Tamandua tetradactyla: one gene and its partners. The protein of the gene in region 4 purifies or fractionates together with the protein of the main gene of each other region. This does not show direct contact. Links are inferred from orthologs where the notes say so. Each region holds a gene or a part of one and is shown on either strand. Other genes may lie near its edges. The genes, in order: RALY, ILF2, HNRNPC and FUS.

The links.
Region 1: the proteins of FUS (region 4) and RALY purify together in Homo sapiens (affinity purification with mass spectrometry; 3 studies listed by BioGRID and IntAct, with this or other methods). This does not show direct contact. The link is inferred for Tamandua tetradactyla from reciprocal best matches to the Homo sapiens genes FUS and RALY.
Region 2: the proteins of FUS (region 4) and ILF2 purify together in Homo sapiens (affinity purification with mass spectrometry; 3 studies listed by BioGRID and IntAct, with this or other methods). This does not show direct contact. The link is inferred for Tamandua tetradactyla from reciprocal best matches to the Homo sapiens genes FUS and ILF2.
Region 3: the proteins of FUS (region 4) and HNRNPC purify together in Homo sapiens (affinity purification with mass spectrometry; 3 studies listed by BioGRID and IntAct, with this or other methods). This does not show direct contact. The link is inferred for Tamandua tetradactyla from reciprocal best matches to the Homo sapiens genes FUS and HNRNPC.

What each region holds. Positions count from the first base shown.
Region 1 is NC_135327.1:18,996,622-19,004,410, forward strand, and holds the start of RALY (RNA-binding protein Raly), read right to left. Parts: upstream 3,010-7,789; 5' UTR 2,645-3,009; intron 2,307-2,644; exon of another isoform or gene 1,909-2,306; intron 1,533-1,908; exon of another isoform or gene 1,337-1,532; intron 1-1,336. UniProt on the Homo sapiens protein: RNA-binding protein that acts as a transcriptional cofactor for cholesterol biosynthetic genes in the liver. Binds the lipid-responsive non-coding RNA LeXis and is required for LeXis-mediated effect on cholesterogenesis.
Region 2 is NC_135330.1:6,483,776-6,491,097, reverse strand, and holds the start of ILF2 (interleukin enhancer-binding factor 2), read left to right. Parts: upstream 1-4,306; 5' UTR 4,307-4,453; coding exon 4,454-4,458; intron 4,459-5,517; coding exon 5,518-5,577; intron 5,578-6,119; coding exon 6,120-6,162; intron 6,163-6,563; coding exon 6,564-6,668; intron 6,669-7,068; coding exon 7,069-7,146; intron 7,147-7,322. UniProt on the Homo sapiens protein: Chromatin-interacting protein that forms a stable heterodimer with interleukin enhancer-binding factor 3/ILF3 and plays a role in several biological processes including transcription, innate immunity or cell growth.
Region 3 is NC_135340.1:35,250,191-35,257,503, reverse strand, and holds the start of HNRNPC (heterogeneous nuclear ribonucleoproteins C1/C2), read right to left. Parts: upstream 3,008-7,313; 5' UTR 2,847-3,007; intron 2,212-2,846; 5' UTR 2,166-2,211; intron 1-2,165. UniProt on the Homo sapiens protein: Binds pre-mRNA and nucleates the assembly of 40S hnRNP particles. Interacts with poly-U tracts in the 3'-UTR or 5'-UTR of mRNA and modulates the stability and the level of translation of bound mRNA molecules. Single HNRNPC tetramers bind 230-240 nucleotides.
Region 4 is NC_135349.1:23,364,098-23,371,499, forward strand, and holds the start of FUS (RNA-binding protein FUS), read right to left. Parts: upstream 3,021-7,402; 5' UTR 2,909-3,020; coding exon 2,896-2,908; intron 1,316-2,895; coding exon 1,291-1,315; intron 1,200-1,290; coding exon 1,045-1,199; intron 367-1,044; coding exon 222-366; intron 72-221; coding exon 1-71. UniProt on the Homo sapiens protein: DNA/RNA-binding protein that plays a role in various cellular processes such as transcription regulation, RNA splicing, RNA transport, DNA repair and damage response. Binds to ssRNA containing the consensus sequence 5'-AGGUAA-3'.

The DNA of each region.
Region 1 (7,789 bases), on a different chromosome or scaffold from region 4:
TCTTCCGAAAATAGAGAAGGGGTCAGCAGTCATCTTTGAAAAAAGAAAAAAGGCTTCAGTGATGAGCTTCAATCCAGAGGGGAGAACTTAACCAAAGGTACCACAAGGCATGGGTTCTTGCTCTAAGACTGTAAGCCATGCCCTGCTGCAGATGCAGTAGGTTAAGGAAGACACTAAGAGCACAAGTTATATTGTCTGCAAATTGAATCCTGGCTCTGTCACTTACTAAATTATATGACCCTGAGCAAGTCCTGTAACATCCAGAAGCCTGTTCTTTCTTCTGTAAAACAGGGATAATAACAGTATCTAATGCAGAGGTTTGCTCTGAGGATTAAAAGAGACACAGACATACAGTACCTGCTATATGACAAATGCTGAATAAGTGTTAGTTATTATTACTAACACTACAAACTACTTTCACAGCCATTTTCTCATAAACCCTCAACAATCCTGTGAGAGTTTACAGATAAGGAAATCGAAGCTTAGAGTCACAATGAGTGGCTCATTTGATGAGGCCAAATCAAATCCTCAGCCTGAGAGATGTCCTGCCCCATCTCTTGTTTAACTGCATGACCTAAGGCAAGTGCCCTAACCTTGCTGTATTTCAATTTCCACGTAATAAAATGGCAATACAAACCTAGCTCAGTAAACTCCCTCACAGAAATGAATTAGAAATGAAATCAGATGATGGTTACAAAAGAGTGCTGTAAACTATAAAGTACTGTAAAACAAAAGTGGCAACTTATAAAAAATGGTATACCTGTGCACAAAATCTGGCCTTTTACTGCTAAACCTGAGGCATAGAGAGTGGCTGGGACTACACAACTTCGTTGGAATTTCCATTCACTCAAGATTCTTGGTCTTTCCAGGGCTGAATAAATGGTTAAATGCCCTTTCATGAGGCAGAAATAAAAATTACTGAACTGAGAGGCAGAAGACTGGAGATTCTAGTTCTTGTTCTATCACTAAGGCAGTTTTAATTTAGAACTTACTATTAATACAGAAAGGGGAACAATTCCTCCCTACCATGATTCTTGGGATGCAGAGGGGGAAGCACAGTACACCTACCAGATTCCAAGGGATTAAGACAGACATCAAATATCAGGGTAAGACCTCCCTTCCTAAGAGACCCCTCAATATTCAGCTCAGGAACTCCCCTGCCTGATTTTCAGACTCCTCATACATACTGGAAATCAAACATATTGGAAAACTGAAACACTTCCCAAAGCTAATTTTAGTTCACTTTAAGCTCTCTGGGCCTTATCTGAAAATAAGGGAAATAAAACCCTACTTGAAAGCAGACCTGAGTAAATGATTTGTCACCCCTAACCCACAGAAATCTGTAAATCTAAACACCAGAGAAATGCAAGGTTTGGAATGAAGAGGGGAGATAATGGAGGAGGAACATAATATGAACAAAATTATGGACAGACTTCACTTGGATTTACACCTTCCTTGAGCCAAAGTCCCAGGGAATTTCAGTTACGCTTGAGACCTGGAGTTCCCTGCATCCACCAACTTCTAGAGGAAAGGTAAGCAGAAAGTCATTCTATCCTCCTTTCCCTCGGAGTTTTGGTAGCCTAGAATGGTATTTCATGTGGAAAATGGCCCAAAAGTCAGGAAGGACCTAGTAATGCCCCTAACTCATGGTTGATCCAGGAATAACTCCTTTTGCACTAGGGATTATACATGCTCACATTAGGAAATAAATAACAGGTATTAGCATCACTGCCTTACACTTCTGTGGCTACAGGGTGTTTTGGAGCAAACTAGTCTCTCCGTGCCTTTATTTCTGCTTCTGTGCAATGGGAATAACTCCAGAAGGCCGTTGTGAGCACTAAATGAAAAAACGCCTTATGAAATACCTGGCAAGGGGCCTAGCACATGATCAAGTCTCATTAAATTTACCTGTTGGTATTAAACAGTTCTCATTTATTAGTTCCCTCATCGAGCACGCAAACACCCTGTGAAACGAATTTCATTTTTCCCCCATTTCACCGAGGCGCGAACTCAGGCTGGGCCGCGAAGAGCACTGCGTGAAGTGCGAAATAACGCCCCAGCTCGAAGGCCTGTGGTTGTTCCCCTCCAAGCCCCAGGTGTACCAATGAGCTCAGGACCGGGAGAAGTAGGATCGGGGGCGCTCAGGCCCCCGAGGGTCGAGTCAGGGCCAGTTGTACCCGTCTCAGGGATCCACAGACCCAGCCTAGGAGGACAGCAGGGCAGTGTGGAGGCGGAAAAAAGCCCGGGGCCAGAGTCCTGGCCCTGCCCGCCGAGGCCTCCTCGGCGCGGCCTCCGCTCCACTCCCTCCTCCCCTCGCCGAGCGGGGCGGGGCGCAAACACAAAAGACTCCAACTTCCGAGCCGGCGCGGGCCCACCCGGCCAACTCCTGGCCCAGGCCCGGGCCGCGGAACTGCCGGGGCGGGCGACACGGGGCGGCGGGCTCGGGTACAGGGAATGTGCGGAAGGAGGGGATCTGGAGTTACTCCGGCTCTCCGGGCTCCGGAATGACCAGAAAAAGAGTTTCTAAAAATAGGTAACGGCCCGCTTGAAGAGGTGAGCGACCGAAAAGAAGCACAGGAACACACACTCACACACTCACACACTCACACACTCTCTTGAGGAGACGCCCGCGGCTCCCACTCACCCGCGCCAAGAGATCTGGAGAGAGAAGCTCGGCAAGGAAGGAGGCGGTGCCGCCGCACTTGGGGGCGGAATGAAGGGAGGGAGAGAGGGAGGCGGCCCCGACCGCGGCGTGAGGAGCCTGAACACAAGCGCGGGAGCCCTCGTCTGCGGCGTCGTCGTCGTCGCCGCCGCTACCGCCCCCACAGCTTCTCGCGGCTTGATCTGCCCAGAGCCCGCGCCGTTCGCGCGTCCAGCTATACTGACAGCGGCGCGAGCTCCGCAGCCGCGAGTCCTTCCCTCGGCCTACACCACTGAGGCGCGCAGGGGTAGGGCCCCTCAGCTTGGCCCCGCCCTCCGCCCTAGTCCTAACCTGGGCTTCCCTCCCCTCCACTCCTGTCTCCCGGGTAGATGCTACGACAGTAGTGCAACGAGATTGGAACCTCGCCCAGGCACAACCGGCCCCGCCCCCAACGCCTGGGCTCTCTTCACCCCTCGGCTCGGCTTTGGAAAGGTCCAGAGCTTCCGCGGGGAGAGGCAAAGGGCGGGGCAGGGGCGGGGCCTGATAGGGAGGCGGGACTGAGGTGGGAGCCTGGGGACCCGCGTAAGGGCGGGAAGAGGGATTCGCTTGTACTAGTAGGGAGCCGAACGTGGGGCAAGGCTAGCAGGGTTGTGAATCCCTAACAAGAGGAGCGCAAGAGAGGTAAAGAAAGTAGTGGAGGCCTCGGAGAGCCTGGAGCTCCCTCAGAGCTGGAAAGGAGAGGCTGTGCTCGGGCCTAGAGGGCGGCCATACCCAGAGGAGGAGTCACGGTGGAGGAAGACCAAGAGAAGCTGGAAGAAGGAGGGGCTGAGGAGAAGCCACGAAAGAAGGAACGATTGAAGCGGGACCGGAGGAGGCGGGCCCGGAAGCAGAGCCAGGAGGAGGAGCCCGAAAGGTGGAGACTCTCGGGAGGAGCCGGAAGGAGGCGTGACCTAAAGAAGGTTTGAGTGGGTGGTGCTTGGCGTTAGCCGGGCGTGGGGATGGGGCTCAAACTCGTCGCCTGGAGGCAATGCTCTAGGGATCCGGAAAAGAGGAAGTAGAGAAGAAGCACAAGGTCTTTTAATTTTCAAGGAACCAGGCACTAGGGCTTCATGTCTAAGCTGGAACTAGGGGAAGAGGCTGCGGTGACGGTGGAACTCTGGGGGAGGACTTAAAAAATATATAAAGGTAAAATTCAAGTAAGTCTCTTTATACTTCTGGCTGCAGGGAATGTTTTCTAACTTGATCTGAGTGGTGGTTCTCCCTCCTAAACATCTCCGCTGTTGAATTTTTCACTTGGATCACTAGTCCATTCGCCAGAGTCTCTGATCCCCAAGCCCCAGCCTCCACAGAACAGCCAGAGGAGTTTTCTGAGAGCACAAAAGGACTGGTGCCTTTCAGTCTTCAGTTATGGACCTCCTTGAAAACTGGGAACTGACTAGAAAAATTCTCCATGTCTCATCCAATCTGGCCTGCGATTTCATGATTGTATTTATCATATCGTTTCCCCCAGAATCTACCTGAAAAACGAGATTCTCTACTCTGAGCAGAACTTGAATCAAGAGCTGTAGCTCTGCCCGATCAGCAGTTAGATCTACACTTCTGTATAGGCTGGAACTAGATTCTGGAAAGAACTGATTTCTTTGCTAAGCTTGACAGACAGTGGGAATCATTGAACGGTTTTGAGCAGAGGGTGCTTTGGAATGATCAAGTGTCAAGGTTGAAAGAATCTGCTCCATGAAATTGTGAAACTATAACCCACAATTGGTGGCTGAGAGGGGGGTGGGGGAGAGGTTCAAGGTTATGAGGACGGTTCTCCTAAGTCAATGAAAGAATATATTATGTCTCTCTTGGTCCTCACCAGCTCAGCCCTGGGCCCTTGTCTCTCCTGTCTGTCTTGCCAGGGGTCTCCAAATCCGTTTTTTCTTATCAAACAAAAGACAGGGTGGCATCTTCAAAGTATGGGCTTCATTAAGTAGGGAGAGCAAATTCAGACCTTCCCTCCCAATGCCTCTCTCACCTCAGCCTTCAAACCTCCTAACAGAGAGAGTACCAGTCCAAGTGACCTTCCCTCTGCCCCTCTTTGCAATCCATTAGCTGCACCACCAAGATCATATGCATTGCATTAATTGAAATTGACATTAAGGGCTCACATGCTCAAGCACATTCAAAGAAATTATAAAATGAATAAGGCTTTGTGTATGTGGCATTTGTTCTAATGAGAAAAAGCATCTCTAGAGCATCTTACTCAAAAAGGATTATGTACCCAGGAAATGATTATGAGGCCTCCCACCCCACCCATGCCTCCCAATATTCAGAAAGGCTTTAGTCTCCGAGATGCATTTCTGCAGATGTCATCCATCACATTTCCCCTTCGTGTTCTCCATTTCTTTATCCAAATCCACTCCTCCATATTCTTTTTTTAAAACTTTTTTATTGTGAAATATAACACACACAAAAAAATAGATTTCAAAGTACATTTTAACAAGTAGTTACAGTATGAATTTCAAAGTATGGTATGGGTTACAGTCCCACAGCTTCAGGTATTTCCTTCTAGCTGCTCTAAGACACTGGAGACTAAGAAGAAATATCAATATAATGATTCGGTAGTCATTTTCATTTGTTAAATCCTATTTTCTCCGTTAAAACTCCTCCTCCTTTTATCCTTCTCCCAATCTGTAGGGATATTTGGGCAAGAACCATCTAACTTCATGTTGAAGAAGGGTTTCAACATTATGGTGTATGGGGATGCAACTGGTTGATGCTCGTGAAGATACTGGTAACTCTGAGTTTGGGGGATTATCTGGCCTAGGGACCCATCAGGAGGTTGTAGGTTTCTGAAAAATAAACTTAGTGAGGGAAACTTTTTATAAATCTCAGATAGAGCCCTGGGTATATTTTAGGAGTTATAGGAATACTGTTGGTTGGGGCTTGGCATACCATGGGAATTAGCAATATCTAGCTGAAGCTTGCATAAGAGTAACCTTCAGAAAAGGCTCTTGACTCTATTTGAACTGTCTGAGCCACTGATACCTTATTTTGTTACATTTTCCCCCTTTTGGTCAGGGGCCATTATCAGTGCCGTGGTACCAGGGCCAGGCTCATCCCTGAGAGTCATGTCCCACATTGTCAAGGAGACGTACACTCCTGGACATCATGTCCCACGTAGGGGGGAAGGTAAAGATTTTCCTTGCAGAATTGGACTTAAGAGAGAGAGGAGGCCACATCTGAGCAACTAAAGAGTTTCTCTGGAAGTAACCCTTAGGCATAATTATAGGTAGGCTTAGCTTCTCCATTACAGAAATAAGTTTCATAAGAGCAAGCCTCAAGATCAAGGGCCTGGCTTATTAACTTGGGAGTTCCTAATGTTTGAGACAGTATCAGATTTCCCAAGTGGGAAAGTTTAATAGTTCCGTAATTTTTCTTCAGTCCCTCGAGGGATTTTGCCATTACTTTTTAATTATCTGCCCAACGTATTCTGGAATGTATCTGGGTATTATATTAAGCTATACAGAATTGCAAGACCTCATTCCCAATGCTAGACTCCATGTGTTTAGGCTGCTTAACTGAACTGGCCAGATAGGTTAAGTTAGATTGTGTGCTATGGAAAATTTAAGTTTTGGACAAAATAAACCTCTCATCCTTTAGTCTCATGCAGTAGATGAAATTGTAAAACACAAACACCATCATCCTTTACCCTGTGTCTGATTTATCTTAGTCCCAGCCAGATCAGCTTTGTTTTATCTCTAATTGAAGTCTGATCTCTTTTTTGGCTTCTTTACAGTTGCTTTATGTAAGAATACTGACTTTCAGAGCTGCACAACTCCAACTCTTAGTCATATGTGTCATCTGTATGACACCTCCATATCCTTTTAAAAATTCTCAGCCACATGTTAGTACCTTTGAGTTCTCAGATGTTCTTATTTGCTGTACCTCAGGATTTCTTAACCAGGTGGTCCTAGAAGTTCTCAGCTTTTGATCCAAACAGGAGACACTGAGATGAAGAGAATCCCACCTGAAGTAGATTGTAAGTTCTAGATACTGTTTTTCCCTGCACTGTATAATTTCCCTTTCTTGGAATTAGGGCCTGGATTTCCAATGAACCCCCAGTTCCCATTCTTGGTCCAAACTTTATAAAGAGTGAAGATACTAAATTTGGACATCCTGGGTTTGAATCCTGGTTCTGCCATTTACTACTTTTGTGAATCTGGGAAAATTCCTTAACCTCTCTACCTCTCATTTAAGAAATGTGGAAAATAATATCTACCTAACAGAGCTGTTGGATGGATAATATGAGTTGATACACATAAGATGTTTAGAAGAGTGCCTATCACATAGTAAACACTCATTTAATGTATTTATTATTTTATTATTACTGCAGAAGGAAATGGCCACTTTCCCCTAGGCCCTGGTGATGGGACCTGATGCAGGCTGGCCAATCAGGGCATTCCAACCCTCTACCCGCGGTAGAACCCTTCCCACACGTAGAAAGCCATACCAATCATTTGGATTGACACCATGGGTTGAAACTTAATTTGTTCTCTGAAAGCCTGGTCTTACCAGACCAATGCTGTAAAGTAAGGGAAAACTTCCAATTTTGGGCCAGTTCATTAGGAGAGACAAATCTAAGTAGGGAGACTAAGGAACTATCAAATTTCACCCTGCTGTGAAGGCCCACTCTCCCTACCCTAGCCATTGGTCAGATACCATGAAAATAATTGTAGTAGACTGTTAATTTGGGTGACCCCCAAGGAACCATGCTTCCCAGATTTTGTGATTTCATGTAGCCCCCTTCCACATTGACTCTGGGTTTGGCCATGCAACTACTTTGGCCAGTGGGACATTAGCAGTCAGGATACAAGCAGAGGCTTGATAAATGCTTGTACCCCGGGGCTAGTCCTCTTGTAATGCTTACTCTTTGGACCCCTGAGCTTTCAGATAAGAAGTTTGGCTACCATGCTGGAGAGACCAATAGGAAGGATTCTCTAAAACTACATGGAGAGAATCAGAAGTCCAGCCATCCCAGCAGTTTCCCTGCTAAACCCAGCTCTCAGCCAGTCTGGTACCTTAATGCAGGCACAAGAGTGACCACCAGCCAAATGAGGAGAAAAACTGCCCACCTGAGTCCAGCCCAGATGGAGGGCTCATGAG
Region 2 (7,322 bases), on a different chromosome or scaffold from region 4:
CAGGAAAGAAAAAAAAAGATTATACCTACCATACCCCTTACCCCTCGCTTTCATTGATCACTAGCATTTCAAACTAAATTTATTTTAGCATTTGTTCCCCCTATCATTTATTTTTATTCCATATGTTCTACTCCTTTGTTGACAAGGTAGATAAAAGGAGCATCAGACACAAGGTTTTCACAATCACACAGTCACACTGTGAAAGCTACATCATTATACAATCATCTTCAAGAAACAAATGGCTACTGGAACACAGCTCTACATTTTCAGGCAGTTCCCTCCAGCCTCTCCATTACATCTTGAATAACAAGATGATATCTCCTTGATGCATAAGAGTAACCTCCAGGATAACCTCTCGACTCTGTTTGGAATCTCTCAGCCATTGACACTTTGTCTCATTTCCCTCTTCCCCCTTTTGGTCGAGAAGGTTTTCTCAATCCCTTGATGCTAAGTCTCAGCTCATTCTAGGGTTTTTCTCAATCCCTTGATGCTGAGTCTCCGTTCATTCCAAGATCTCTGTCCCACGTTGCCAGGAAGGTCCATACCCTTGGGAGTTATGACCCATGTAGAGAGGGGTAGGGTGGTGAGACTGCTCGTTGTGTTGGCTGGAGAGAGAGGCCACATCTGAACAACAAAACAGGCTCTCTTGGTGAGCTGAGATTTAGCATCAAGGGATTGAGAAAACCTTCTCGACCAAAAGGGGGAAGAGGGAAATGAGACAAAGTGTCAATGGCTGAGAGATTCCAGAGTCCAGAGGTTATCCTGGAGGTTACTCTTATGCATCAAGGAGATATCATCTTGTTATTCAAGATGTAATGGAGAGGCTGGAGGGAACTGCCTGAAAATGTAGAGCTGTGTTCCAGTAGCCATTTGTTTCTTGAAGATGATTGTATAATGATGTAGCTTTCACAGTGTGACTGTGTGATTGTGAAAACCTTGTGTCTGATGCTCTTAGGCCTAAATTTTAAGTAGACTTGACCTATCCTTTGTGGGGTTAAGTTTCATATGAACAAACCCCAAGACTGGGGGCTCAGCCTATAGCTTTGGTTGTCCACACTGCTTGTGAGAATATCAAGAATTCAACTTGGGGAAGCTGAATTTCTCCCCGTTCTCACCACTCCCCGCAGGGGGCTTTGCAGATACTTTTCCACTCACTGATCGAATCACTCTGGGATTCATCGGGGCATCACTCTGGACAAACCAGCAAAATCTCATGTCCTATCTGAGATTCCAAGTACTTATGGCGTTCAATCAAACTATTTACATAAGTTATATTAGGAAATGCACTAGTCAAAATATAAATTTTGTAACAAGTAAACATTTTTTGCTTTAGTCTCAGACAGAAGGTGACATTTAAAAATATTAATTACCATCTATTTTCAGTACCCTACAATAATGACATTCCTTTGTTCTTCCTCATGCAAAAACATTTTTAAAATTGTACATTGTACATTTCACACTCTAGGCATTCCTAGATTATACCATCTCAATCTTTAACATCTATCTTTCTTTCTGATTTCATTTATGTTCCCAGCCCTCCTCCCTCTATCATTCTCACATGCAGCTTCATTCAGTGTTTTAATATAATTATATTACAGTTAGGTAGTATTGTGCTGTCCATTTCTGAGTTTTTGTATCCAGTCCTGTTGCACAGTCTGTGTCACAAGTGGGAAATTCTTGATATTCTCACAAGCAGCGGGGACAACCAAAGCAATAGGCTGAGCCCCCAATCTTGGGATTTGTTTATATGAAAGTTTATTTACTTAACCCTGTAAAGGATAAGCTAAGCCACTTAAAATTGAGCCTAAGAATCACCCCCAAGAGAACCTCTTTTGTTGCTCAGATGTGGCCTCTCTCTCTCAGCCAACACAACAAGCAAACTCACCGCCCTCCCCCTCTCTACGTGGGACATGACTCCCAGGGGTGTGGACCTTCCTGGCAACGTGGCACAGAAATCCTAGAATGAGCTGGGACTCGGCACCAAGGGATTGAGAAAACCTACTCGACCGAAAGGGGGAGAAGAGAAATGAGACAAAATAAAGTGTCAATGGCTGAGAGATACCAGAGTCGAGAGGTTATCCTGGAGGTTATTCTTATGCATTAAGTAGATATCACCTTTTTAATTAAGGTGTAACAGAGAGGCTGGAGGGAACTGCCTGAAAATGTAAATGTAGAGCTGTGTTCCAGTAACCATGTTTCTTAAAGATGGTTGTATAATGATATAGCTTTCACAATGTGACTGTGTGATTGTGAAAACCTTGTGTCTGATACTTCTTTTATCTACCTTATGGACAGATGAGTAAAATGTATGGATTAAGAATAAATAAATAATAGGGGGAACAAATGTTAAAATAAATTTAGTAGATTGAAATGCTAGTGATCAGTGAAAGGGAGGGGTAAGGGGTATGGTATGTATGAATTTCTTTTCTGTTTTCTTTTTATTTCTTTTTCTGAATTGATGCAAATGTTCTAAGAAATGATCATGATGATGAATATACAACTATGTGATGAGGAAAAAAGAATGTTCATATTGTATGTTGATTGGTTTTATTAATAAAACTTTTAAAAAAAGGAATAACCTCCAGGATAACCTCTCAACTCTGTCTGAAATATCTCAGCCACTGACACTTTTTCTCGTTTCTCTCTTCCCCCTTTTGGTCAAAAAGGTTTTCTGAATACCTTGATGCCAGGTCCCGGCTTATCCTGGGATTTCTGTCCCACATTGCCAGGAAGATTCACACCCCTGGGAGTCATGACCCACGTAGAAGAGGAGGGCAGTGGGGTCCCTTGCCATGTCGCTTAGAGAGAGGCATATCTGATCAACAAAGAGGTTCTCTTAGGCCTAATTTTAAGTAGGCTGGCCTATCCTTTACAGGAATAAGTTTCACAGGGGTGAACCCCAAGATTGGGGCTTGGCCTATTGATTTAGTTGTCCCCACTGCTTGTGAGAATATCAGAAATTCTCCAAATTGGAAAGTTGAATCTTTTCCCCTTCTTTCCCACTCCCTAAGGGGACTTCACAAATACTTCTTTATTCACTGTCCAAATCACTCTGGGATTTATCGGGACATCACACTAACCTGGACTACCCAACAAGATCTCATGCCCTATTCAAGATTCTCTTATGGGATCTTATGGTACTTATGGTATCAACTAAACTGACCATAAAAGGTAAATCAGGAAATGCACTACCCAAAATGTAAATTTTATACCAAATAAACTCTCCCTTTAGCCGGAGGACCTCTTTTGTTGCTCAGATGTGGTCTCTCTCTTTCTAAGCCCAGGAACAGACAAACCTAATATATGAAAACAGAAATAGGAATAGTGATTCCCTCTAAGGACAGGGCAAAGGGGTATGAGGTAACTTTCTAGGGTGATGAAAATGTTCTTTATCTTAATCTGGGTAGTGGTTACATAGATTTAAAACATTACTCAACATTAACTAGCTATACTGCTAAGATCTGTGCATTTTAATGTAGGTAAATTATACATCAATAAAGTATGTAAAACATTACACAACACAGTACTTAATTCTGAGGGGAATGAAGGTGGTAAATGGAATTAAGTTATTCTTGTATTTTTTCAGGAGGACTTTCTGAAGTCAGAGATGCGTGTTGTAATTTTTAGGGTAGACACTAAAAGGGTAGAAAAAAGAAAAGAGTGCATAACTTCCCATTAACAGAGGGGGGAAAATAATAAACATTATATCTCCCATGACAAAGAAGGCAAGAAGGGGGAAAATTAACAGGAGGGATAACAGCCAGCACATAGTAAAATGATTGATTTAAATGCAAATCAATACAATGTCTCCCTTTCTGCCTCAAGTTGCTGAACTACACAGAAGTGTGATGTATTAATCGCTTCCTAAGGACCCTTCCTCAGTACACTTCATTCGCCAGTGCCAGAAAAATCTTTGAAAGGCTGCATTTATAAGGGAAGAAAAAACTGAAAAGATGGCGTTCACATCTATTAAAAAAATTGAAATCATACGTATCACCTTTCTCTATAAGGAGGGAAATAAAAGAACCAGATAGCAGAGGATGGTTTCGATCCATCGACCTCTGGGTTATGGGCCCAGCACGCTTCCGCTGCGCCACTCTGCTACCTGGTGTTCAGGGCTTGTAAAGGTCATATAGAAAGTATTTACAATTGGTGGCGTTCGAGGTGTTCAGTTCCTCCAAAGAGCGCTACCTAGTTCTTGAAGAAGGAACTGCCGCCATTGCTGTCGAGCCTGTTCTTACTGGCTGGTTCCCGACACAGCAGGCGTCTTTTATTGGTTCTTTGCTTATGTCTATTGGTTTATAGAACCAATAGACAAAAGCGGCGGGATAAGGCGGGAGCCAATAGCGCCGGGTTTTGTTGGGAGACACCGGCAAGCTGCTTCTCCAGTTGTCCGCTCCTCAGAGGAGAGGGGCGGTTGGCGCGGCCTCCATTGTTCGGGATTTAGGGCGCCATGAGGTAAGGGGACCGGGGCGCTGTATGAGGATTTTGGATATTCGACTGAAAATGTTGGGAAGGTGGGCCGAAAGGAGTCGGAGGAGGATTGGGGATTGGCCTAAAACCTGAGAACTCCCGGCCTGGTAGCGGAGGAGGGGTCGGAGGCCGGCTGGGGCGGGGGAACGCGGGCCTGGGACGGGGGTGGGGCCCGGGCGCGGGAGGCGGGTTCGAGGCCGCTGTCTCTGGATAGGGGGTGTCCGCGGATCCCTGCCGGACCCTCCCCGCTTCTGGGCTGAGACGGCTGGATCGTGCCCCATTCATCCTCACTGCCAGTTGCTTCACGTGTAGGCTATGATCACTACATTTTTAAATGCCTTAGTAGATAAATGAGCACTCACTTTAATCTCGGAAATGTTAGGATTGGCACATCTCCCAGGTATTACGGTAGGGGCTCTAGGTGTTAAGTATCTGGGTCCCGTTATTAATTGAGGTTATGATTAAATTATCCATAATGAGGAGAAGTGTGATCGAAATACTGTCACTAGGCTCCCGAAGGTTCAGAGCGATGAAGGGAGGCTAATTCGAAATGATGTGGTGGGTATAGTGGAGTTGCTACAGTGAGGTAAAAAGAAAAAAACCTCCCAACTTTCTATATCAAGAAATTGATTTAAATGATACTACATTAATTTAATGGACTACTACACGACTATCAAAAAGAATGAGATCACTCTGGAATGAGATCACTCTGTACACAGAAAGGAGTACATGCTGTATTAACTGAAAAAAAGCAATTCAGATAAGTACATAGTATGACTTGCTCTGAATCTTGAAAAGGAATATATATGTTTGCATATTTTGTGTGTTTGTATGTGAAAACACCATGAAAAACACCAGAAAGAATACAGCCCACACGTTTATGGGGAACGAAACATTTATGGGGAATAAAAGGGGAAATTTTACTTAGTTTTACATTTATTTAATATAAATAAATGGTGATGTCTGGCTATTTTCAAATGACTTTGTAATCTCTTTTTAAAAAAACTTTTAAGAGTTTTAAAAAAACCTTTCATACATTTCTAGGGGTGACAGAGGCCGTGGTCGTGGTGGGCGTTTTGGTTCCAGAGGAGGCCCAGGAGGAGGGTGAGTGCCAGTTTTTAGCACCTCTGCACTGGTTGGTTTCTCTTAATCATTTAAGTAGGAATTTGGAGTGGACTAATGTTATGTTAGGTGTAGCTGTGATTTAACATCTCTTCTGGTGCTGTCCTGCTAAATGTTGATTTTGCTAAGAAGGATCATCCCCCAGGGGACTGACCCTGATTCTCAAGACACAAATGTTTTCAAAACTCCAATTTGTAGAGTATATGGAACCTGTTAATTAGGTGTCATTGGTTGGGTGAAAGGTTCGATGCAGTATTAGCAATTGTAAGGTAGAACTTTCAACTTTGAGCAGTCGTTTTATTTCTCAGTTAAAAGTTTTATCTGTTCAGGAACCTGAATATCTGAATGCTAAAAAGATTTCTCTCTCTTGATGTTAGTCTCCAAGAGATGCTAGAAAACCAAAGTTTTGGAAGAGAGAACATAAAAACATTGTTTAATTCTGTTTCTAGGTTAAGGCTGTTTGTGCCAAACATCTCATTTGATTTCTATGTGGTGCATAATTTGGACTGTTTTCCTTGTTTTAGGTTTAGGCCCTTTGTGCCACATATTCCATTTGATTTCTATTTGGTGAGTATCTGGGGTTAGTATGACTTTCCTGGCCACTGTTTACCTTAACATAGAAATGGAGTTTAGCATTTCCCAGTTATTGAAGTTAAGTGGTAGTTGGAATAGGAACAAGGACTTGTTAATAAAGTTGGGGCTTTGAGTTAGCTGTGTTGCGTTGCATACAAAGACAGTGTAAGCAGGGTGAAGAGATAATTTCTTGGCTACTGTTGACAGTAATATGATTGAACTTTTTATTTCAAATAAGAATATCTGATTCATCTGTTAATGTGAAAGTCGTGACCTTAAATTATGGCTGTTCTATTGTATATATTATTGTAGCAACAGTACAAAGTACTTATTCCTGTATATTATTTTGAGTAAATATTATGTTTGTAGTATTAAATAGTTTAATTCTTGTTCAGTGTGAAATGGCCTTCCCCCGGGTCAAGCCAGCACCTGATGAAACCTCTTTCAGTGAGGCCTTGCTGAAGAGGAATCAAGACCTTGCTCCCAATTCTGCTGAACAGGTATGCTATTTTGGTTTCCTTCCTGAGATTTCTGTAGTGGTCAGAAAAGTGAATAATCTCAGATGAGGTTAAGAGTAAATAGTGTTTTCAGAGACTAAGCTCAGAAAGCTTATTCTTATTCTTATTTCTTATTATTCTTACTTCTTCTTGTGGGTAGAGACCGAGAGCCAGCTGAGTATATTAACAGATTATTAGGCATTCAGGTTTTTATTGGAGGATCTCATCTATGTGATAAAAAATGTTCTTTTCTGGCATATTCAAGGCCAGAAGGGTCAAAATGTTTTTAAAGCCTGTGTTGGTATTAAGCTTGTATGGAAAGGATTATGAGAAAATATTCAAATTCTGAGAAATTGCTTGTAATTTTTCACCTTAGGGAGTTTTGTCTCATGCTGTTTTTCAGGCGTCTATCCTTTCTCTGGTGACAAAAATAAACAATGTGATTGACAATTTGATTGTGGCTCCAGGGACATTTGAAGTGGTAAGTTTTTGTTGATTTAGTTCTACAAAGGGGCAGTCTCATTTGTGGAAATTTCCTTGGCTTCCTCTTAATTGTTCAATTCCCTGTTATCCAGATCCAAGCCTAAAATGGGAACATGGAATTCCTTTGTAGTACCAGTCTTGTGAATGGTACTGTTCACAAGTACTGAACAGTGC
Region 3 (7,313 bases), on a different chromosome or scaffold from region 4:
CCAAGTGAGATCGCAACAGCATGACCATTGTCATAAACTACCAACTGTTAGAAATGCAAATTCAGACCCCACCCCCATCCAGACTTAATCTGAAATTCTCCTGGGGGGGGGAAGGCTGGGGGGGGCAGCATTTTGTTTTAGCCAACTTCCCTGCCCATTTTGATATCTGCTCAACTTTGAGAACCACTGTAGGGTTTAACTAGAGACATCTAGGAACCAATTCTTTAAACAAAGTGCCTAATCCTTCCAGTGGACTGTGTCAGAAGTAGGTTTGAGTATATTTCCATACACTATAATAAATCCAAGAAATCACTTAGCATAGTAACTGCAGTTATTAAGGCAGTTCTATCTAAACAACTGCTAATTTCCAAAACAGCTATCAACAATAAAACTATTCCCGTACACCTTTTAACCTTTGGCAAATGACAAACTAGAAATTAAAACAAGTCCAAGACCCCTGATTTTACAGATACAAAACTAAAATGCAGAAAATGAAAAGTGATTTACCCAAAATAACACAGGTAACAAGCGGGGGAGGGGGGGATGGGATGGGATGGGATTTGGTTCTAACTCTTAGGCCAAGATTTTGCAACTGTTATACTCCCCAGGTAATCAATCCTTCTCACATTCAACAGTTAATGTGTCTTTAGGATTAGAAACAGCTTCACTGGAATTTATTCTTGGTTTGTTTCTAACAGCAATTCCATCCAAAACAAGATCACACGCTATGTTAAACCTAGAAATGTAATTACACTATAAGCTATATTTGAATTCTCTACACAAAGAATAGCAACCACCACCAAAGTATTCCTGAGAATGACACAGCATGGCAAACACAAAAAAGTTTGTCTTTCCTCTTAAACCCTTCCTCTCTAGCCCAACATGAAAATGTTACTAAAGCCTACCTCTTGAAAACACAGCTAGAATTGTTTCAGGTATTAATTTTGTGGACAGAGTTTCTGACGGATGTTAACTCAGGAAATTTGTGACATGCTGATGTTAATGAGGCCATATCTCTAACACCTCGAAATTTCGACAACTACACAAGAATTTCGGTTCTCAATAATAACCCTTCTTAAGTATTAAAAATTAATGCCTCAGGGGCGGGCCATGGTGGCTCAGCAGGCAGAGTTCTCGGCAAGCCATGCCAGAGACCCGGGTTCGATTCACGGTGCCTCCCATACAAAAAATAAATAAATAAAAGTAATGCCTCACAGTCAATTGCCAACAATACTTTTACCAACTAGATGATTGCCTAAATTAATTATCACTTGCTTTTATCTTATTTCTGACAGTTCAGCTGCGTGATGAGCTTTACTTTTAAAAAGCCCATACACAATATACATTTTAGGCCTTCAAAAAAAAAAGAGGGCAGGCAATGGTGGCTCAGTGGCAAAGTTCTCACCTGCCATGCAAGAGACCCAGGTTCGATTCCCACTGCCTGCCTACGTTAAAAAAAAAAAAAAAAAAAAAAACAGGAAATACTTTTGATACTGCAGAGCCCATTACAGGATTTACAGTATCTACATAGTGAAGAACGAGCAAATACATAGCCATCTAGAATATGCCTACTTTTACCGTCTAAAAATTAGGTTTCTTGGAGGATGAACTTCTTACTCTTCATTACTGGTTTAAACTTTGCTTAACACAGCATTCGTATTTGAGATTTACACACTGTAAAAAATATAATTAGCTCAATCTTACACAAGGATAAATTAGCCATTTCAAGTTTTACTAACTCAGAAAATTTTTAAGTTTCAGTATCTAGCAAATAGTAGGCACTATAATAAAGTGTAGTTGGGCATTTTTTTGTCACAAAAGTTTGGGTGGACAGCAAAAATTTATAAATACCAAAACATCTTAAAAACCGAATTTAAGTATGTCGTCGTCGACAGTTAATCTTAATAAAAAAATGCAACTCTCATAACTAATTATCTTTTCCAAGTGCAGTTTGGTAATTTTCCAGTTAACTGCCAGTGGTTTCTGTAACTAGGTTCTTGTAAAAATTCAAACGTAGTGCCTGGTACCAACTATTTTCAAACAACTAGGTAAATCCACTCGACTGACCTAGTGGTCAAATACCTCAACAGTCCTGATTTAACATACTCTGGCATCCAACACTCTTACGCCTCAGATTTTTGTCTGAGAAAGATATTAATACCTACCTCAAGCAAAGTTCCACTAACTTATATATTTCAAGTGATTTGAAACCTGCAGATAAAAAGTAGTAAGTCAGCTGCAATTTTAATTGTTAATACGTGAGGTTACATTTTTCTTTTTAAAATAAAAAAATTACTACTTCGAAGTCCACATTTGCCTAAAAAGAAGTAAAATAATAAATATTCAGAATACTAAGTCTATTGCTGTATTCATTATTTCCATGCCCTGCAGCACGTTTCAGAATTTACAGGCTCGCGGTACAACACTTTGGTAAGCACCCACTCCCCGACTGCTCAATTTTTAAATGTGAAAGAATGAGGTAACAGAAAACATTAGCTCCACATAAACTTCAACTATATTAACGAACATCTCGAGCTTCACTTTCAATTCTCTTGGGAGTCCTCACGGTCGTAGAAAAATGAAAGGAAACCAACCGTTAACATAGGTAAGCAAGACGAAAAAAGGTATTTTCTCCGACGATCAAGGCCTAGAGAACGCCAGATTAAATCCACGCGGAGATTGAAAACGCTAACACTCCCTCCCACACAAAACCTAATTCCCCAAGGCAAATAAAAGAAAAGGGGGCCTGGTTACTCTGCCGAGAGGGTTCCCTCGCCTTTTTTCCCCACACCCTCTCGCGCTCCCCGAAGAACCCAGTGCCTCTCCTTGTCTCCCCCTCCACTTACCAGGAGGGGGGAGGGAGAAGGGATTCAAATCTGAATCTCCCACTCCCAGATTCCACGCGAAGAAGCCGACTGCTGCTCGAGGTCGGCAACGCGGTAGCAACCGCACAGTCTCCGTCCGTCCACAAAATGGCTCCTGAGTCTCCTCCGCCGCCGAGGCGAAGGCCTAGTCCCCGCCCCATTCTTGGAACCTCTCTATTGGCTGCGCCCTTTCTCGCTCCCGTTCCTTGTAGGTCAGCTCTACTGTTCTTCACAATCTCGCCCAATTAAAATCAGCAATGGGTTAGACCAAGTAAGAGAATTTCCACATGCGTGAAAGAAACTAGCTTATAACTGGTTATTGCTCCTATCACTTATTGCTTGAGGAATTCTTATTGGCCAATGTACCGGACGTAGCGCTGGGTGAAAATTCGCCTTTGTATCGCGCGCACCGCTTCACATCCGGGTATCCGGCATATTTGATTGGCGTCCGTAGTGCCCTATCTCTACTCCTTCTAGCCCTTGGAGAAGGCCCGCCCAAATCTCGGAATTCCCGCGACGTGGGGGTGAGGAGGGATAAGAGGCGTTGTTAAGTTGCCGGCGCGAAGGTCGAGTCTTAGGCCCTCTTCCGCCTTTCGCAGCGGTCTTCTTAGCCTTGGGCAGGGGGAGAAGGTATACCACGAAGCGACGTTTCCTTTGTGCTATATGGATAAAGAAAGATTTTTTTTATTAAAGTGAGGAGAAAGCGGTGATAACTAGGCCATGTTAAGCTACATAGAAAACTAACCATACCCGCAGTTTTTCCCCAACCCCAGATCCCTTCCTCAGTTCCAGACTCGAATTTCACCTCCCCATTCCTCTGCCATCAAGCTCTTGTTCAGACAGCACATATCCCACCCAATTCAGCTGGCTTCCTATTCCTCTCCAATATATCAAACAAGGAAGTATAAAATGCTAGCCCGGAATACTATACAGATGGAATAGAACTAGCTAGCCTTACTAAGAATGAGGGAGAGCTATATGTGGATATGTTAAGGAGAGGGCTTATTCCCATTAACTGGAAAATGTAAGGTGCAGAACTCTTACATATTGTGATTCCATTTCTGTAAGTTTTTAAGGGACATATGAATATGTAAATGCTTTATGCATTAGTTTTAATTACTTCTGAATTACAGAGATTCACACAAAAAAGTAGCTGTTACCTTTGGAGAGAGGAATTTTTACTTTTTTCATTGGTATCCTTTCTATACTGTTTGAATGTTTTACAGTATTATTATTTTTTGCAATATTATTACTTTAAGCCAGTTGGAAAAAGCAAAAACAAAGGTAAAAGAAAAAAATACTAAAATGTTAATGGTGGTTTCTACTGATGAGGTAGATTTTTACTGCCTTGTGCTTTTCTATATCTTACATATTGTCTACTTTAAACAAGTAATTGGGGGAAATACTACGTGCTTAAAGCCTCAACTCAGCTGCAACATTGCAGTTAATTTAAAACTACCTCATAGCATTGTGATTAATTTTGCACTCGTCTGTTCTCTCGTCTTGGACTGGAAGCTTTTTTGATGGCAGAGTTCACTTACTCCTATTTGTATTCCGCTTGCTTACCACCTATTACAGGGCTTTATGCAGAAAGTGTTTGAAATATGTATTACACCGATTAATCATTTTTATTTATCGGGGGAAAATACTATTTTGCCAAGACAAGCAGGTAGATTCTACATTTCTTTTTTATTAAATAACTTATATGACAATTTCTCAGAGGGGTCCAGAGGCTCAGAGGTCTGGTTAAAGTGAAATTATTGACTTAAGTAAACAAAAATAAACATTAACATAGCTTTTTTATTGCTCACTGTTTTCATAGAATAAAAGTCTCTAAAACATTAATGAAAACTGCCTATTTCATTTTTTACCAGAAATCAGTTTTACTTCATATTCTTTGTCATGACCTACTTATTAACCAGCACTGTGTTCATAGAAGCAAAAATAGTACTTAAAAGACAACATCATGCTTTCAAACATTTCACCTGTTTGCTAGGTGGTGTGAAAGTGAAGTATACAAAAAGAATTAACTGCTAGTACTTCTACCAAATAACTTACAATTTTCTAGAGAAGAAAACAAGTGCAAAAATAGCATTCATACAAATGCAACATGGTGCAGAATGTTGAGCACCATGTTGATGGCAAACATTCATGACTTTGGATTCTGATGCTCTGTAAACTTAGGTGGGTAAGGTAGAGTGTAGAAAGTTCCCTTAAGTTCTCTTGTGCCTATTCTAAAGACCCTTACAGTTTACAGTAGAATGCATCTATTGAAAGGCTATATATAGTAGAAAGAAAGCATGAGCCAGCCTCTAGTAGTGGAAAAAGAGGTAAGGAAACAGAGAAAACTTGGCCTAAGGAGAAAATAAAACAAAACTGAACATTTGTTTTACTTCAAAAAATAATTCTGTTCAGAGATTTCATGTGGCTTGAAATATCCCCTCTACTCTCACTACCCCAGCCTGCCCCCGCCTCAATTCTGTCAAAAAGAAGATGAAAGGAGAAGCAGTAACTGCTATGAAATAACTTAACTTTTTACTGGAGTCATTGACCAAATACTGTCCTCAATATGTATCATCCTCCATCCCTCAGCCTCCCTAGTCCCATCCCATACAACAAGCCAAATAGGGCTCTTCTAGTACAATCGTTATTGCCTCTCATCCTCTGCACCTCCATTGTCCAAGAGTGTCATAACAATTTTCCCCTAGAGAGTGAGGAAATGGTTTCTGATGAATCCAGTCAAAACACTTAAGTAAAATTTCATGGTGCTCTGAGACTCAGAGTTAGAGCTCTGAAGGTATGAAAATCAGCACTACCCCATACAGTAACTGTTTAAAAACTTGAAAAAGGGATCAGACTTCGCTAAGAGATATGAATGAAGCTGATCTGGATACGACTAAGGCAAATTAGAACACAGGGTAAAGGATGATATTTGTCCATATTATAAAACTTCAACTTCTGTGTGAGACCAAAGGGAGAGATGTTTATTTTGCACAAAATTCATATTTTGGGTAGCGCATTACCTAATTTAACTTGTATGGTCAGTTTAGTTGAACATCATTAAGTACATGGAATCTTGAATAGAGCATGAGAGCTTGTTAGTTTATCTAGGTAAGTGTGATGTCTCAATATAGCCCAGAGTAATTTGGGCAATGAATAAAAAAGTATTTGTTAAAAACCCTTTGGGGGACTGCGGAGAAAAGAGGAAATATTCAACTTCCCCATTTGGAGAATTCCTAATATTCTTCCAAACAGTGAGAACAACGAAATCAATAGGCTGAGCCCTCAATCTTGGGATTCACCCCTATGAAACTTATTCCTGCAAAGCGTAAGCTAAGCCTACTTATAATTATGCCTAAGAGTCACCCTCACTGAACCTCTTTTGTTTCTCAGATGTGGCCTCTCTCTCTAAGCCAACTCAGCAGGTGAACTCACTGCACTCCCCACTACATGGGACATGACTCCCAGGGGTGTAAATCTACCTGGCAATGTGGGACAGAACTGCCAGGATGAGCCAGGACCCAGCATCATGGGATTGAAAAAGCCTTCTTGTCCAAAGGGGAAGAGAGAAAGGAGGCAATAAAAAGTTTCAGTGGCTGAGAGATTTCAAAAAGAGTTAAGAGGTTATCCTGAAGGTTATTCTTATGTATTATATAGATATCCCTTCTTAGTTTATGGTGTGTTGGAGTGGCTGGAGGGAAATACCTCATATGTTGAGCTGTGTTCCAGTGGCCTTGATTCTTGAGGACGATTGTATAACGATATAGATTTTACAGTGTGACAGGGTGGTTGTGAAAACCTTGTGTCCGATGCTCCTTTTATCCAGCATATAGACAGATAAGTTAAAAAATATGGATAAAAATAAATAAATAATAGGGGGGGAAAGGGTAAAATTAATTGAGTAGATTGAAATACTAGTGGTCAATGAAGGGGTAAAGTGTGTGAGATGTATGAGTTTTTTCTTTTTATTTCTTTTTCTGGAGTGATGCAAATGTTCTAAAAATGATCATCATGATGAATACACAACTATGTGATAATATTGTGAGCCATTGATTGTATGGACTGTATGAGTGTGAAGATTTGTCAATACTAATTAAAAAAAACTTTCATGGTGCTAATTTTACCCATCACTTCTTTATACTTCTTCACACTAATTTGGACACCTTTCTGACTGTTTGCAAGCTATCTCCCACAGGCAACCATGTTCTACTTGAAAAATTATATGATGGAGTTATTAAACATCACTTTCAAGGCCCTTACTCTTTTACTGCACCCTGCTTCACTCACACTCATCTGTCCCCCACTCTGACCTGCAAATTGTTGTCATGTTAATCATCGGAAAGCATCATTTTTTTTTGTGACACCCACACTAAAATCCTGTAATAGCGCTCTATTCCAGTCCTAAGCTTTCATTGCTTCATTCACTGCTTTTCCCTCACTGGGCCCTCA
Region 4 (7,402 bases):
AGCTGGACTGTTGCCCATAGCCCCCACTCGGGGGCTGTCCATAACTGCTGCTCTGAGAACTGCCGCCATAGCTAAAGGAAAGGAAAAAACCAAAACGAAAATGTCATAATACCCAAAACTTTCCTTCACTTTTAGCACTTCCCATTTCTTTTAATTGTTTCATTATCACTCCTTACCAATTCAGCCCCAATCTTCCAGGTCTTCCCCCAACCCCTCCTTACCTTCCAGAAGTGCTGCTGGGAGCTGGCTGCTGCCCATAGCCGGGGTAGGAGGACTGCTGCCCATAAGACGATTGGGAACTCTGTCCACTGCCATAGCCACCAGTTGAGCCATATCCCTGGGGAGTTGACTGGGTGCCATAACCTGCTACAAGGCAAAGAAAAAGGGAGCCACAAATGCTATGAGAGGAATGGGCAAAGAAGAGGTTGGAAAAAAGCCACTTCGTTCTTCCTAATACAAGTTACCCTTCTCTTCTACTCTAAGGCTAAGGTACCAACTCCTTAGGACAGTATATCTCAGCCTCCCAAAACCCAGTCTTCAGGATCATGATCTAATTTAAGCCCACACGAATCCTACTTAGTAACAGCATTTTAATGTATGAGCAACGAAAGTTATATGCTTAAAGGCCCCAGGGCAAATTTCAACTCCTACCGTATCACATGAAGTTTGAGAGCCTAACTTAAAACACCTTCAAGCAAGCCATTTCCTCCCTATTAAGTACCAAACCTAAAATTGTTTTTCTTTAGGTGACACACTCCCCTCTTATTTTACTTTCATGCTGAAAATGGGAAAAAGTACAACATAAATAGAAAAAACAGTCGAAGAAAAAGGAATGCATAGAATTACAAAGCAACATTAAGCATTTTTGTTTAAAACAAAAGTTTTTACTTTCAAAAGTTTCTAAGAAGTTATAAGTTATAGACCGGATAAGAGAAAAGAAACATGGAACAAATGGCACTAACATTTTAGCACTACTGCGATTTAAAAGAAAGGCAACATTCAGAAAGAGCAGGGACAGGTGAGGTGACCCACTAAAAGACTCACTGTTCTGGGTCTGCCCATAAGAACCACCATAGCTGCTTTGGCCATATCCTGAAGTGTCTGCCGACTGGCCATAACCACCATAACTCTGCTGTCCATAGGGTTGACTGCTCTGCTGGGAGTAGCCCTGCCCAGGCTGGGTGGGGTAGGCCCCGTAGCTGGGTGCAAAACAAAGCAAAAACAAATACAATGAGAAAAATACACCTCTGCCACCCTGCCCTCAACGAACTGTCCAGAATTGACACTCACCTTTGCGTTGCTTGTTGAGTATAGTCTGCAAAAAAAAAAAAAAAGATTCACATTACCTTCAGCCAGTCTTCCCTGAGAGTGTGACAGAGCCCTAAATTCCCTTAACTCCAGCACTTGGGGCCTCCAAATCAAGAAAATGAGCAAAAACTATGGTGCAAAAAAGGCCATAAATTTTCCCCTATAAGACATTAGTTGGAAGGAAGGAAAGGTAAGCTGGTAGATGATCATCAAAGAAAGATGGTCATGCCAAAAAAGTGTGTTTATGCGAAGACCAAGGAGTCTTAATCCACTACGCAAGAAAAAATTCCAGGATCAAGTTACAATTTTCTGCAAACTTAATTCAGTTCAGAAACTGCACTAAAACATTTTACATACAAAATTCATTTTCACAACTACCCACAACTCAAGATATGATAACCTGCCAAGGGTCACAGAGCTACCTGGGGCAGGTTTGAATTCAAGCCCGAGGAAGCAACCTCCATTCTCTCAACTGAGATCCAAAGAACAAGAACGTGTTCAATAGAGACCATTTTCGCCCTCTGGCCAATCATTGAGAATGGCAAAATTGGGGTTTTAGCGCAGTCAAGAAAACAAAAGCGATCCCCTTTGATACCAAATGAGAGAGAGATCGGCCTTCGAGAAGCTTGCTCAAAAGGCAAGACTCAGGCCTGAGGCGCCCAATGGCGTCCGTTTTCTCATCTACTCTGCTTTCCAGGGAGCTGCAGAAAAAATTCGGCGAACCCAAGCTAGTGAGAGCGCTTTTAAAACGCCACAGTAAAGGTACAGTATCCAAATCGACTCAACTGCTTAGGACAGGAAATGAGGTGCTTCCCTCGCTGAGAAAGGAAGAAAGAGGTGTGGCTAGGGGCGGATGTTCCTTTCCATCCCCATCTCAGAGAAAAGGAATTTAGGCGGGAAAAATGTCGGGCCAGATTCCGTAGTCCGTTGGTCAAGCCCCCATGCTGCCCCCTCCCACAGACCGTTAAGCGGGCGCGCGGCCTAAGCGCCGAGCCTCCGCCCCCGGCCGCGTGGCAACCCAGGCGGGAACTGGGCGGTTCCACCCCCTCCCCAGGGGCCTGGGAGGGCAAAGCCCACACCGGACGCGCACTGCGGGGTCTCCCGCGGAGGGTCTCGCGACAAAAAACGGGGCCAGCACGAGGCGGGCAGGAGTACGCGCCGCGAGGAAGGGGAGGGGCCAGAAGAGCGCGTGCGCGCGCGGAGTACCCGGATGCAGTACTGCGACAAAGCGGGCCCAAATGCGAGGCTGGGAGCGAGGGAAAGGAAGGAAGGCTATGGAGACTAAGCACTTCCACCTTGGCTCACGCTCCAAAACGCAGAGAAACGTCCCCTTCCATTCCCCACCTCAAGTAAAGAAATGTTAGGAAATATCTCCTGCCCTGCGCGAGAAGCGCCAGGGAAGAGAAACAAAATGGCGACATCAGCCCTCACCTTCCACCCTTTCAGCTGCTTCCCGCCGGAATGGTCCGTAGAGACGACCCCACCACACGCGATCGCCATCCCGGTCCCAGAAAAAAACTAAGGCCCAGCAAGAAAGGAACGAACTCCCAGGCTAGCATGCCACCCCCGCCACGCGCCCTTACCTACCGTTTGAGGCCATGTCCGCGCACGCGCAAACGGCCCGACAAGCAACACAATTCCAACACTACAGAGCACCGACGCCTCGAGAACTGAGCGGCCCCGCCTTCTTCGTCGAGGTTTATGTACGCCTCCCCGCCTACGTACCGCAGGGGAATGTACCAAATGTGGAAAAAGAAAGGGGGAAGCACGATGGGGCGCCTACCAAGCTCCAGGAAATATATGGGATCCGAGCAGACGAAGAGGGAGAAGATTGGTCATAAATGTGCAACTCATAATACACAATCTTATTTTTCTGGTGGCTACCACAGATTCCCTCGGGAGGCCTAGCCGATTATTCAGTTTCACCCCTAAAAGGCCAAAATGGTACAGCCTGAGGCCCCCCGCTGGGGGCGGGGCGAGGAGCCCGAGGCGTCTGAGAGCGGAAGTACAGTCGGGAGTGGCCCGGCAGGAACCGAAATTCTGCCTTGCCCATTTCACTGGGCCGCACTTTCACTTAGGATAGCGAGCTCCTTCTTGCAGCTGCATTTTCGCTTCTCCCGACGCACCGTCCCTCCGGCCACCCGCCTCCCCTGCGCTCTCGCACTCTCACTGATTCTAACGATCCTCCCCCAGTAACACCCACGGACCCTTTCCCTCCCGGCCTCTCGGTTTTCACTTCATCCTCTTTCAGGGATACCTTTTGGTCACCCCTGTGAGGGCTTGTGAATTGTGACGTTTGACCTGAAACAAAGCATAGATGATGTTTGCCAGACCCTTTGGTCATAATCTAGTCCGGCGTTGAGTTCTCATCCTGTTGCCCCCAGCCCTTCCGGTGACATTGCACTCGCAGATTCTACATCAGGAGTTCCCGGCCTCTGCCCTTGACTGATACGGAGCTACTTTTTATTTTCTTGAAGGCCCACCACAGAATCAATTTGGAGATCCCAGTAATAACAGCCATTTTGTATAACGCTTAAGTGGCTTCAAAATGCGCAAAAAGTTGTTTTCCCATCACAGTGTTGGGAAGAAAGGGAAGGTATCTCCATTTTCTGATAGATAAGAAAAGTGTGACTCCTGCCAGATACAATCAATGATGAAAGTACACCTAAGGATCAACAAGTCGTGATTCGAACCCAAGTCTGTGTAACTGCAAAACACTCCTTTAGATGGTTACAAGAACGCTCTGGAGGGTTGGGAAGCCTGTTCACTCACCATGAAAGCAAGGGCAAAAAAATTAACTTGAAACTTGTACTTTAATCAGCCTTGCCTGGAAAAGGCAATTTGAAACTATTGAATAAAATAGAAGACGTTACTCCTGGGTATGCGTGCCAGGCAGTTTCCTTCGCAACTTACCTTTGGCCTGGGTTCTAGAAATTTCTGGGTAGAAAGTAGGCGTTTTCCAAGAGAAACAGTGAGGGCTGTGCCCCAGGCCTGATTAGTGATCTGTTAGCCCTTGAACACCCCACCCCATAGGAAGGGAATGTGGCTCCGGAGTGAAGGCAAAGGGAAGTGTGTCACTCATTCGTTTCATTCATTTATTCAGTATTTATAACAAGCTCTAGGGATATATTAGTGTACAAAACAGATGAATCTAACTTTTTTTTTTTTTCATGGACAGGCGCTGGGAATCAAACCCGGGTCCTCAGGTATGGCAGACAAGCACTCTTACCTGCTGAACCTCCGTGGCCCACCCTGAATCTAACATTTAATAATGAAGCTAACATTTAACAATGATAATATTCATGTATTCTGCATATTTGTATATATATTTTTATAACAGCTAACACTTCAAAAGGCTTTCTAAGTATTAGGCACTGTTCTGAGTGCTTTGAGTATAATTTGTTTAATCTTATTCTTCACAATAAACCTACGAGGTGGAGGTCGGTGTGAGAATTGCATTTTACAGATGAGGAGCTAGGCACAAAATGTTGAACGCCCTGCCAGGGCTACTCAGAAAGTAGCCCAAATGGGTCAGTCTGACTCAGAGTTCCTGCTTGGGCAAACATTGCTTGAACACTGCATAGCATGTGCAAGCCAGGGGTCAGACCCAAAGAGAGGATAAAAGAAGATCCAGTCCCTAAACCGTAGGACTTTTATGACCAGGGGTGAAATGAGACACAGACCGCAAAGTGAACCTAAAAGAAATGTGGTAAGTACTCTAACATGGAATGAGGGACTCCAGAAACTCTGCTGAGAGAGCAAGTCATGTACCAGGTAGACAGAAAGGTAGAGATAATTTGGTAACATTGAAGCTAGGCCTTGCAGGATAAGTAATTCACCAACCATGAAGAGAAGAAAGGGTGCATCTGGCAGGAGTGTCAGAGACAAAGGTATGGATGGGGAAGGGTATTCATGGGCAGAATAATGGGGGGTGGCAGGATCAAATTGGGGCCCCTGAAAGTCTCCGTACAGGGTCCATGTCACCAGACTTAACTCTTTCAGTGAGTTTCACCTGAGCATGTAACATGGGGACCTCTACTTAATGGACACCCCTGCTCCCAGCCCTCCCACCTCTCCCACTGTTGATTCTCTGTCTTGTCCTCCTGCATTCTCTTTCTCTGCTCACCAGAGGCTCTGTCTTCAGCCTTCTTAACTTCTCCCTCAAAATGCAAGGCCCAAACTGCAGCCTGACATCTAATTTAGCCTACTTTAGGATATCCTGTTATGTATATTTTTTCTTTTCTTTTTATCCTCTTGTATTTTAATTTTTTTAAGTAGTTGCCAACACTGAAATAGAAAAATGTTACATCAAAATCCAAACTTCTGGCTTTTTCTTGAAAATTGGAGGTTCTGACCGTCCTGGTCCCACATTCTCATAGGACAAGGGTCAAGTTGAAGAAGAAGCCACCACCTTTAGCTGGGGCACGCGCTTGTAATTCACCACTTGTAATATCAAGGAGACTCCCTACGTAAGAATGCAAAGAAAACATTAAATGGAAGTAGTAGTCAAAATATTGTTTTAAAATATCTTTGTAATATACTAATGCATTAAATGTAACAATCTACTGGCAAGTCTAATAATTGTAATTTTGAAGTACATTGGAATGTAAAAAATATTTTAATATTATCTGTAACGTCTGTGATGTGATCTGAAAATTTATGAGATTTCTGTACGTGGTGAACACCCTAGTACTGCTAATCCTGCTGTGATTTGTTCCCCTAGTCATCAGATTGGGAAAAAAAAATGTTAAATGGCAGTTAAAGGTAAGTGAAAATAAGGACAATATTTTCTCATTCAAGTTTGGAACTGCTGAATGCTATCTTCAGAAGCTTTCTGGAGTTAACTCTAGAGGTTAAAAACTCTGGCTGTAGACTAAAATGTGATCTGGAATGTGATTTCATTCATGTCATGCGTTCATCCCCCAAATGTGTATGTCCAATCCTGACTTTCCTGAGTTCCAGGCCCATACTTTGGGTCATCTCCAACCCAGTTTTGTCAAGCAAATGCACCTCACAAGATTTGAGGCAGCAGCCGCAAATGGGAAGTTCAGATTCTGACCAGTAGAGTGGCTGAGACCTTTGATTCTTCAGGGATAGCTCTGGTGGAAGTTATAACATCCTTAGTATCACAGAAGCCAAATGCATGAAGCAACAGCCCTGGAATTTCCACTAGAAAAGTCCTATGCTGTTGCTGGACTCTTAACCTGGTTTGTAATACTGGTTGGGAAATGTCCAAGCTTGACTCCTTGACCCTCCCAGAAATTTGGCAACCATCTGTAATAATCTCTCCACCTATCATAATCTCTTTTTGCTTAAACTACATAAAGTAGATTATGTCTCCCGCTGCTAAGAACTTCAGTTTAAACCACTGTCATTGCAACAGCATTTATATATCAAAAGATTAGGAACAACCTAAATGCCCATCAATAGGGGATCTGGTTGACTTAATTATTAAACAGAAAGATGTCTCAGTCTCAGCACTATTGGGATTTCGTGTCAGATAACTCTGCTGTGGGAAGCTAACCTGTGTATCATAGAATATTTAGTAGCACTCCTGACCTCTACTCACTAGATGCCGGTAACAACCCCCAAACCCCCAGTTTGACAACCGAAATTGTCTCCAAGTATTTGCCAGATGTTCCCTGGAGGAGGAGGGTAGGGACAAAGGTTGAGGAGCAATGTGATACAGCTATACCATGAGCTAAAAAAAGATGGGGGTGGTATTTCTGGATTTTGAGAGGTGGTTTTATATATGTATAATCTGATGTTAATGAAGCCGATCAGGTCAGGATTAAGGTAATTCAGAACATTGGAAGGAAGACTTTGTCTGTATTTTAGAACAGTACCTGCTCTTTGAGACCAACGGAAGAAAGGTTTGTTTTGTCCAGAACCTAAATTTTCTGTAGCACATAATCTAACTCAACCTGTCAGGATAGCTCATTTCAACAATCAAAACACAGGCAGCCCAGAAGAAGAATGAGGGTCTTTAATCCTGTGTAGTTTAATGTAATGCGTGGGTACATCCTAGAATATATTAAGCAGATAATCAAAAAGTATTGGCAGAATCCCTTGAGGGATGGAATTAAAAATACAG